2 linked regions of the Caenorhabditis elegans genome follow. The protein of the gene in region 1 interacts with the protein of each later gene in a pairwise test. Each region holds a gene or a part of one and is shown on either strand. Other genes may lie near its edges.

Evidence for each region.
Region 2: the proteins of cyp-13A2 (region 1) and ftt-2 interact in a two-hybrid assay, tested with the Caenorhabditis elegans proteins (one large-scale study listed by BioGRID).

What each region holds. Positions count from the first base shown.
Region 1 is NC_003280.10:9,782,776-9,789,434, reverse strand, and holds cyp-13A2 (Putative cytochrome P450 CYP13A2), read left to right. Parts: upstream 1-1,805; 5' UTR 1,806-2,081; coding exon 2,082-2,273; intron 2,274-3,382; coding exon 3,383-3,714; intron 3,715-4,036; coding exon 4,037-4,136; intron 4,137-4,199; coding exon 4,200-4,741; intron 4,742-5,235; coding exon 5,236-5,617; 3' UTR 5,618-6,051; downstream 6,052-6,659. Other genes in the region: cyp-13A3 (Putative cytochrome P450 CYP13A3), read left to right, coding at 294-537. UniProt on the Caenorhabditis elegans protein: Cytochromes P450 are a group of heme-thiolate monooxygenases. They oxidize a variety of structurally unrelated compounds, including steroids, fatty acids, and xenobiotics.
Region 2 is NC_003284.9:11,602,941-11,607,109, reverse strand, and holds ftt-2 (14-3-3 domain-containing protein), read left to right. Parts: upstream 1-1,690; 5' UTR 1,691-1,729; coding exon 1,730-1,780; intron 1,781-1,829; coding exon 1,830-2,202; intron 2,203-2,477; coding exon of another isoform or gene 2,478-2,641; intron 2,642-2,669; coding exon 2,670-2,833; intron 2,834-2,898; coding exon 2,899-3,057; 3' UTR 3,058-3,402; downstream 3,403-4,169. UniProt on the Caenorhabditis elegans protein: Required for extension of lifespan by sir-2.1. Required to modulate lifespan, in concert with hcf-1, acting redundantly with 14-3-3-like protein par-5. Promotes nuclear export of yap-1.

The sequences.
Region 1 (6,659 bases):
GATGTAAGTAGCATAACGATGTACCAAGTATGCTGATTTAGCAGCATAGTTGGGAAGTCTACAATAATGCCATCTCCAACCTTTATGACGTTTTGTGACGAAAACATTAGTAAATGAGCGTCAAAGGGATGAGCCATCGTTAGGGATTGAGCGTTCAAGTGAATGAGCACGCTAGTAAATGAGGGTTTGCCCTATCATAATGACTGCCCATTGTTGACACATATTTTTTAAAATCAAAACTGAAGGCTAGATGAAGGGGAAATATCAGGCAACACAACTTTCTTCATTTTCAGATGGGAATCTGGAGACGAACAAGCTGTTGCAAAGGGAGCTTACCTTCCTTTCGGACTTGGACCCCGAATTTGCATTGGAATGCGTTTGGCCTATATGGAAGAAAAGATGCTTCTGGCACAAATTCTGAAGAAATATTCTCTGGAAACAACTTTTGAAACCCATATTCCATTGAAACTGGTTGGAATCGCCACAACTGCGCCAACAAATGTTCACCTAAAATTGAAGCCCAGACATTCCGATTAACTTGGCTTTATCATTTCTTTTTGCCAATTCTTCCCCCCATTTTGTGTCTTGTTCTTGACACAGTTTGTGTTCTGTTTGATAAAAATGTGATGAATTGAGAAGTTTGTTCTGATAATCAACATTTCTGCAACATAGCTACTGCGACTGATCGAAGAAAGTTATATTTTGTTGGCAAAGTAGAATATTTTTTCCACTAATGAGTGAGGCTAAAGTGGTTTATTTTGAAAAAAAACTTCTTAAACTTTACTTCAGTAAACAAAATTTGTAATAAACCAATCATATTGGCCGGGAAAATAGTTTCAAGGCACATTATAGAAGGGCTGATCAAAATCAGATCTAAATATCTTAAAACTCCTCATCTTCAAATTGGCGTAGCATGAAAACTATGCGTCTAGAAAACAAAGAATCAACTAACAAAATGATCAAAAATACTTTTTCTTCATTTTCCATTACTTTTCATGTTAGTCTATCAATTATTCGCTGAGTTACACGGGAGGAAAGCAATTTAACCAAAATTTGCCAAAAAAATTCGAACCTTCTTTGCAAGAAGAGTCACACTACAACACCCATTTGGTTTCAATATAAAAACCTGTAAATTTGTAATTCATAAATACTTATTTGAAATTTTCATGTTATAACTTTTTTGATATCTTAGTTTTCAGCTAAGTTACAGACCGTTTTTCAAAAAAAATCATTTTCAACCATAAAACTCTTTATATCCAACGTATCGACTTGAAATTTTGAAAAACGATCACTTTTTTGAGGTCTCTACAATGTCCTAAAAAATCTTCCGAAAAGCCCTGCTAATCTCCAAAATCGTCTTTCGCTCTGAAAAACTAAATCGGACTTTTGCTTTCCCAAAAATTGACAAAAGAAAAGAAGGCGGGGTTTACGTCACGTGTTTCACGGTGTGTGGCGGAACCCGAAAAACTGTCGGCCGCTAAATTGTTTCACTTTGTTTGGTTTATATATGAATAATGCGAATAATAGTGAATTTTTTCTTTTTCTGAAAGAAACAGGGTATCTCAAGACTTTAACTAATCTTCAGAACGAAATCATATATCAGAGCAACCTGTTCAAAAACTGCAATCTTTAAATGTTCAATGTTTTCAAAATAGTTGGTCCGACCTTGAACTAGGTGTTCGGTCCATGTCTAAACACAAGTACTAGAAGATTAATGGGTAGACAGACCATCGGTAGACAACCTTCTCTTCCGTCCTTGAGAGCTCCTCTTTTCTCTTTTTTTCTCTAATTGTTCACACTCGCTCGTTTCAGGTAAAATTTGTGTCTAGATCGTTATCTCTTTTCGTTTTCTTTGATTTCTCGGCACCCAAATTGTGGACAGAGTGTGATTAATTCTGTAGACGCAGGAGGAGAAGCGTGTCTTTTTATTGGTATACCGTGATTAGAGAGACGGAGAGCTGGCGATAGAAAAAGAGAAAAAAGTTTTCAAAGTGGGTGGAGCGTCTTATATAAATACAGACAGTTGGTTTTATTGAACGGCTCTTCCATTTTTTTTTTCGTTTTCTGCTTCTACAAACACAATGAGCCTAGGGTTTGTGCTCGCCGTAACTTTTTCAATATTTCTTGGAATACTTACATACTACCTCTGGATATGGACATATTGGATGAGAAAAGGAGTTAAAGGACCACGTGGTCGACCATTTGTAGGAGTTTTGGATGTGCTCTTGGAGCATGAAACACCTGGATTAATCAAATTAGGAGAGTGGACAAAGGTTGGTGCAAGAGAGTTCACATGGTGAATAAGCTTTTTTGGAAAAAAAACTTTAAAAGCTGAATCAGGGAAAACGTGGTAAATGTTTTTAAATGAGGAGAAGCTCTAATGGGGAACATTTTAAAAATTATTCCAATGCTATTAAAATGATTGAATACTATAAAGTAAACATTTTCAAAATAAGTTTAAATGTTTTATCTACAATCAAAACTTGGCAATTCCTCAATCTTCAATTATTATAGTTTGGGAAACTGAACAAAAAATGTTTTCTCCACGAGGTTCACATTTTAACTATTTGAAAAATTTGGGCAAACTGGCTAGAAGTTTTGAAAAATCTGAATCACTTTTTTTGAAAGTATTTTTTAAAGATAAATTTATGTTTTTGAACAGTTTTGAGTTTATTTTAGAAAAGCCGAATATTTAGCGCATTTCTGTTTAGACCAGTCAAATTGTGAAAATTATTCTAGTAGGCAATATTAAAAAAAACATGTGAAATTCCTCTAATTGTTCCCAAAATTTGCAATTTTAATTATTAATTTTTCATCCTACTTCCAAAATCATTTTTCTCAATAGAATCACAGTTTTTGTGAGTTATTGCCAGATAACTTGACATAAAAACTCGTTCTACTTATCGGTTTCAACTTACTCTTGTCAAATTTCTTCCTAGTAGATAAAAAGTCACATGTACAATTGGTAAAGTTTTGTTTCATGGCCACTTCCAGTGCAGGACAAAAAAATTTCCTAAGATTTACTGCACTTTTGCGAAAAGTGACTGCCCTTGACATGTTTATTCACTGAACAGAAGTTCCTTCTAAACGCATCACTGTCAAAAGTTTTTGCTTTTCACGTATAAATGATGGATTTTAGTAGGTAGGGCAAAGGTACTTGGAGTTTAAATTTGCAGAGGGGTAAACAAAAATAGTAAATTATTTTTAAGAACATCATGAGTATTGGGTAAACAGTGTGTAGTCCTCGTCCACTTTGTACGGAAAGGGCAAATTTTGTGTGGGTTATATGTAGTTGAAAGAAATGGAAAATTAGATTTTTCGAAAATTTAAAGACCTATGTAGTTGGAAAATAACTTCTATCTACAATCCTAACATTTTACAGAAATATGGCAAAGTGTATGGATACACAGATGGCACTCAGCGAACATTAGTAGTTGCTGACCCTGCAATGGTCCATGAAATATTTGTGAAACAATTTGATAATTTCTACGGCAGGAAGTTGAATCCAATTCAAGGAAATCCGGAAAAAGAACAACGAGTTCACTTGTTGGCTGCTCAAGGATACAGATGGAAGAGGTTGAGGACTATTTCATCACAAAGTTTTTCGAATGCAAGTTTGAAGAAAATGAAGAGAACTGTAGAGGATAGTGCTCTAGAGTTGTTGAGACATATTGAAAAGCAGACAGCTGGAGGAGAACAAATTGATATGTTAAGGTTAGTTTTTAATTTTATAGAAAAAATTTAAGCTTTAAAAAAGGATACGAAGCAAGCTTGAGCCTATGTATATGAAAAATATCATGATACCTTCAAGGCAGCCTATAAACCCGTGAAATTTTTTTTTGTTTCACTGTATTTGCAAATCTGATTTTTCTAGGTCTTTGGGTTTTTGACAGTTTTGCTTTAAAATGATAACTTCATATTCCCTAACATTTCCAGTATTTGCAAATATTATCGAAATTTCTATTTTTTCTAATTTCTATTTTTTCTAATCTTCCAAAAAACCTTTTAAGCTCTATATTCTGAAATCAGTTTCCAGATTCTACCAAGAATACACCATGGACGTCATTGGTAGATTTGCGATGGGTCAGACGGATTCTATGATGTTCAAGAACCCAATTGTCAATGTTGTCAGAGAAGTTCGTTTTTTTTTTGAATTTATTCATCTATTTCATTTCATACCATTAGCTAAAAACTTTCAGATTTTTTGTGGCAGTCGAAAAAACTTGATGTTAATCTGCCAAGTCTTCCCACCAATTGGTCAATTCATTCGTGACCTAACATTCAAATTCCCCAGAATTCCCGCTTTCAAACTCTACAGTATCATGCAAGATGTAGTAGCTGCTCGAATTGCTCAAAGAGAACGAGAGAAGGGGGCGGAGTCTGGAGAGCCTCAAGATTTTATCGATTTATTCCTGGATGCCAGATCAGATGATGTAGATTTCAGTGCGGAAGCGAGAGAAGATTTTTCAAAAAGGAACTTGAAAATTACAAAGGAATTGAGTGCCGATGAAGTAGTGGGACAATGTTTTCTATTTTTAATTGGTGGATTTGATACAACTGCATTATCACTATCATATGTTACTTACCTATTAGCTGTTAATCCAAAAATTCAAGAAAAAGTAATTGAAGAAATTGCTCGTGAATTCGGAACTTCAGAAGTAGAATTTGAGAAGCTTGGGAGGCTGAAATATATGGATTGTGTGATCAAGGAAGCTCTCCGTCTGTATCCATTAGCTTCTATGTGAGTTTTTTGATGAACTATGTGTAAAATGTTGCACCAAATTCTATTGCATTTTAGTTTCCATGACAAAAACCTCATGTGAAAATTTTTGCAGAAATTATTTATTAAACTACCATAGACCGTGATTAGCGATAAGAAAAATGTTGTCTATGTCTGCAAAACTAGGTAGATTTGAGAGAAAAAATGTCTATTTGTTGCACTTGCATGCAAAATACTGTGTAGGTACAAAAAAAGATTATTCAATGTCTTGTTGGGCAAAATTGCAAATTAAAATATGAAAAAATATATATATCCGGAAATATCTGGAAATTGGGAATTTGATAATTTCAGCAATCTTGGCAATTGACAGAAAATTTATCTTTGACGTCTTGAAAATAGAAAAGAGCCAAGTACTGTTTTTCTGATATCTGAAACATTCCTAAAAGTTTGTTATAAAGTTACCAAAAAACACCTTAATCAATGACCCTTATATGAAAATAATTCAACATTTTCAGTTCAAATTCCCGAAAGTGTATGAAAACAACAACTGTGAATGGTGTAAAGATTGAAGCTGGTGTATACGTTCAAATGGACACTTGGTCTCTTCATTATGATCCAGAATTATGGGGAGAAGATGTCAAAGAATTCAAGCCAGAACGATGGTCCACCGACGAGCCATTAGAGCACAAAGGAGCATATCTTCCATTTGGACTTGGACCACGTCAGTGTATTGGAATGAGGCTGGCTATTATGGAGCAGAAGATTCTACTGACTCATTTATTAAAAAATTATACATTTGAGACAGGAAATAAGACTAGAATTCCTTTGAAACTGGTGGGAAGTGCTACTACATCGCCTGAAGATGTTTTCGTGCACTTGAGACCGAGAATTTGGTAAATTTCAGTATTATTGTCTATTTACTTTAATTTTGGAACCCGTTCTATCAATTTCTCAGATATTACAAGATCAGACTAATTGTAAAAATATTTTAGTTAAATTTTTTATTTCTATTTTGTAAAATATTTTCTTTGATTTTTAAAACTTGGGTGTTTGATGGTAACTTTTCATTTCATTTTTTCATTGTTATTCGTTTTTTTTTGTTCAATGATTGTTTCCTTGTTCACACATTTTTCACCGGTTGACTCCATCCACTTTTTATGTGTTTGTTTTTTCCCCGATCTGCACCAATTTATTATAGGCCTACCTCGCTTTGTTTTCATTTGATTTGATGATAGAAAATAATGAAAAACATGGTTGTAAAAAATTATTTTTTGAAGTTAATTTTGGTTCTATTTTTAACGTTGATAAATGTTAAAATTATATATGAAAGTTTATTATGGGGATTTTAGAAGTTTACAAGAAAAATCTTAGTGAAAGCAATTTACAGTGAAAACAACATTTTTGGATTTATTGTATTTTGATATGTGTTACTGAAAACATTAAAACATAAAATAAATTTCAAGATTTTTGTACGATTTGATATTTGATCTGCGCTATGTTTAAACATGCCGAAAAAAAATTCTAAAACTAATTCAGATACAAGTTTTCTGAATCCAAAGTATTCCAACACAGTCCATTCCCAATTCTCTCTGGGTTTTATTATTTTAACGTTTCCGAGAAACTTTTCAAAAAAATCACGAAATATGCATTCATGTGTTGCCCTTGGTTTCCAGAAACTACTTCACATTGTCGTTAAGAAAATTCTAAATTATATAGAAAAGGGGAACACATATGCGTGCACAAAATCTAAATACAAAAACTCCTATTTTTGTCAAGTTTAATTGAAGTTTTCAGCGTCACAGAATTTCTTTAAATAGTGAGAAGAATGAGTAAGACAACAGTAAGTTTCCGAGTTTAACAGTATTAAGGATAAAAATGAACAAAATTTTAGTTTCAATATAAATGGATTTCTTATAGGAACTAGGAATTCTTGAGCATA
Region 2 (4,169 bases), on another chromosome or scaffold:
TTGAATCTTTCCCGTAAGACAACAGTTCTCATTGATGAGTAAGAGTATACCTCACTGCACGGTGAAAGAAGATGTGGAATAGATAAGACGTAAATTGCGTTGAAGGTCTCTGTATAGTTGCGCACCACACCACGCATCTGTTGTTCCTAATTCTGTTTTGATAGAATGGGGTTTGAAAGGTTTCGGGATAGGAAGAATGAAGATGTACATGTACTTCCTCGAAAATCGGAAGTGAAGACAACAAAAATGAAGATCAAACAACAGTCGGATGTGTTCCGCGACACCAATTCTAATTGATATGGATGTTTGTACAAAATACCAGTTACAGTTTCAGAAACATCAGGAAAAATTACAGATACTATTGTAATAAACATTTTTGTAAAATTCTACATATGAATTAATGAAAAGAATGAATAGAACCTGGCCTTATATGTAGTTTAGAATTGTAAATTTATCATGCTAATTATTTTTCTGAATCTCCTTTGTAATTTAAGGCAAATACCAGGCACTTTCAAGTTAAGTAACACGATTATCAGCCTGTTTTGCCTGCATGTTTACGCGCCCTGCATATTCGATCCTAGGCTGTTGTGAAGCGAGAGCCAACCGCATCAGCTCCGAGCCTCCGAGCCCACCGCCGCTGGTCATTGATTTAGAACAAGTCTGCAGCGGTCGTCAAAGTAGCCCCCAAAGCGCTGCCGCATTGTTTGAATTTGCTCCAAGTTTCCAGAAACATCCAGGAACATGCAAGAATCATCATTTAACTTTGAAAACGGCAAGCTTCTGTAGTCACATTTTCAAATTTTCAGACCATACATTACTCAAGATAATTTGAAGGTAAATTATGGCCCAAAGAGTTATGGTGAGCGCTCTTTCTATTTGAATAACAGAGCGACTTCAAATGACGACCGAGCGCCTGGTGGGTGGGCAAAAGGCAGCCCCCTAGAAGCCTCCGCATGTCCGATGTTTTCGTCCTATTTTCTGCACAAAAATATTCAAAGTTCAAGATTTTAGGCCGAGTTTCTAGTCAACTAAAAGCCCGGAAAAAGACGAACCCGAATATCTAATTTTCATCTAATATATCTGAAATTATGTTGACTTCCTTCAAAGAAGAAATGTGGTGCGCGCTCTTGTTGACACATTGCGAAAGAGACCCTTTATGAGTCGTAGGAGGCGGCGGTTTTCTGTTGGCAGCCCCCTCGAATCACTCCGCAATTGTGTGTTTGTAGCGCGCCAAACGGCTCTTTTTAAACACAGATATCAAAACTTATATTTTCTTCACTTTAGCTGATGAAACAGACTTTCCCCTCTCAGAATATATAATTTTTATTCTGAAATTCGCAGTTTGAATGGTTTTTACAGACCCTAAAATGATGGTGCGCGCTCCTTTCGGCAGATAGGGAGAGACGCACAGAAAACGAGAGGGAGGGCTGGGAGGGGTGCCGCTCACTCTGTTCAACATTACTCGCTCGACAACGTCCTTCTCGTTTCTTCTTGATGCATTGTGTATACTTCTACAAGGGCTCATACGCCTCGTGTTAGAAGAGATGAAAATGTCCCATCAGTTTCATATCATATAAGAATACGGAAAGGAGCCATTCTTTGCTTTCTTCAAACAATCTTCATTTGTTTACCGCCCTCTTTCTTCTCTTTCTCATTTGACCTTTTTGTATCAAACTCTTTATATTCTCGTTTTTCAGTGACTCATCCACTTCAAGCAACTAAATCAACTATGTCTGACGGAAAGGAAGAGCTCGTGAACCGCGCCAAGCTTGCCGAGCAGGTATGTAGATGTCTCAGGATGTTCTTGAATACTAAAACTTTAATTTCAGGCTGAGCGTTACGACGACATGGCCGCATCCATGAAGAAGGTCACCGAGCTGGGAGCTGAGCTCTCCAACGAGGAGCGCAATCTTCTCTCCGTTGCCTACAAGAACGTCGTCGGAGCCCGTCGTTCTTCATGGAGAGTCATCTCTTCAATTGAGCAGAAGACCGAAGGATCTGAGAAGAAGCAACAAATGGCCAAGGAATACCGTGAGAAGGTTGAGAAGGAGCTCCGCGACATCTGCCAAGACGTTCTCAACTTGCTCGACAAGTTCCTCATTCCAAAGGCTGGAGCCGCCGAGTCCAAGGTCTTCTACCTCAAGATGAAGGGAGACTACTACCGTTACCTCGCTGAGGTCGCCTCCGGAGACGACAGAAACTGTAAGTGATTGAAAATGATGACTGTAATTGGGACATAACCGTGCACTCGTTTCTAACCCTCATTCGTAAGCTATGCATCCTTGTGTGAAGTGTGGAAAGATATCATAGGGAAGACAGAGAACGGGAGTTCAGGCGCGACCCAATTCCACATCGATGCGTAGTTTTTGAAAATAAACTCTAGGGCAGCTCATTGGGGGTTCTCCTCTAGGGAGTTCTGCCTCTCATAGTCATACTCGTTTCAAAGAAGACCAGAAATGAATATTCCTTCTTTGCAGCGGTTGTCGAGAAGTCGCAGCAAAGCTACCAAGAGGCGTTCGACATTGCCAAGGATAAGATGCAACCAACTCACCCAATCCGCCTGGGACTTGCTCTCAACTTCTCTGTCTTCTTCTATGAGATCTTGAACGCCCCGGACAAGGCTTGCCAGCTTGCCAAGCAGGTGTGTTAATGTTTTTATTTTATTTTAGCAGTAGCCAACATTGGACAAACGGCTTACGCGGAGGCACTTGAAATTGCAAATAAAGATCTGTCACCAACGAACTGTGTTCGCCTTGGTCTTGCACTCAATTATTCGGTGTTTTTTTATGAAGTAGCAGCAAGCCCGGATAGAGCATGCCAGCTTTCCAAGCAGGTGCTCGTTAAGTTTTTGACATAGCATCGTAACTTCAAAGCTATTGATTACCTTTAATCTTTCAGGCTTTCGATGACGCCATCGCTGAGCTCGACACCCTCAACGAGGACTCATACAAGGACTCTACCCTCATCATGCAGCTTCTCCGTGACAACTTGACTCTCTGGACCTCGGACGCTGCCACCGATGACACTGATGCCAACGAGACAGAGGGAGGCAACTAACTCCTTCACACCGACACGTTACCGCCACACACCCCTCACCTCGATCTTGAAAATGATAAATAATACTATTTGTCATATGATTTATTTATTACCATTGACTAGTTAAACCATCGTTTTTCTTTCCATTTTTTTCTATAAATTCATCAATCACTCCCCTTTTCCCATCAACCAAATGCAGAAGTTATTCAAATTTCTGTGCTGAGCCCACTCATCAAAACTTCCCGTCTCTACCCATACAATTCAATGTTCCGTTTTGTTACGGCTTTTCCCCCTTTCAAATCTCGACATTCGAAACACCCCCAAGCTTTTGAATACACATAATAAAGTTGTAACACCAACTTCAATATGAGAAATTAACGCAGATAATCACGTCGAAGAAATATTAAGAGGGGAGGATTCCGATTGACATCCAAATGTATAAAAATTAGTGCAATTGAACAAAGTTCGAATGAGAAAAGAAAACTGAAACGAACGTTTTCTTTTAGCGACATCTTGTTATTGCAGGTTGTTCTTCCTTAACCAAGATAACTACTACGTCTTAGGCACTTGCTAAGGTTCAATTCAAAATTTATTTCATTTATTATAGATATGAACAAAGATGAAAACTAGAATTTAATGTTCATATTCATTGAGGAATAAGAAAAGGTGGAGTCCTGGATTAAATCTCCGGTACATGACACTTTCATAGGTTTATTTCTAGTTAAATTGGCTTTACAGATATAGCAAAATTTTGGTTAGTGACATACTTGAAAACTACTTATTTGGACGGGTAGGTTTCATTTGCAACGCCAGGTGGCGGCGCCAGCTAACAACCAAAAAATTGGGGTTTTTACAGCCGATAATATAAGGAGTGGTAATTGGTACACTGGTAATTGAGATAGTTCTATGCAGAAAGAGCAGGGTTTTGGGAACGAGCTACTTTTGTACCACTTTACAATTAAATGAACATTTGTGCTTTAGTTGAAAAGTTTGAAAGCCGAATACATAAGAATACCAAAAACAATTTCGAAAATTGTCATGTTTTTTTTGAAGAAGAAGAAGAAGTCCTGTTGTTTTGAATGCAGTTTTAAATATTAAAAATTGGGTTTCATTTGTTGGTAACTAATCTACAT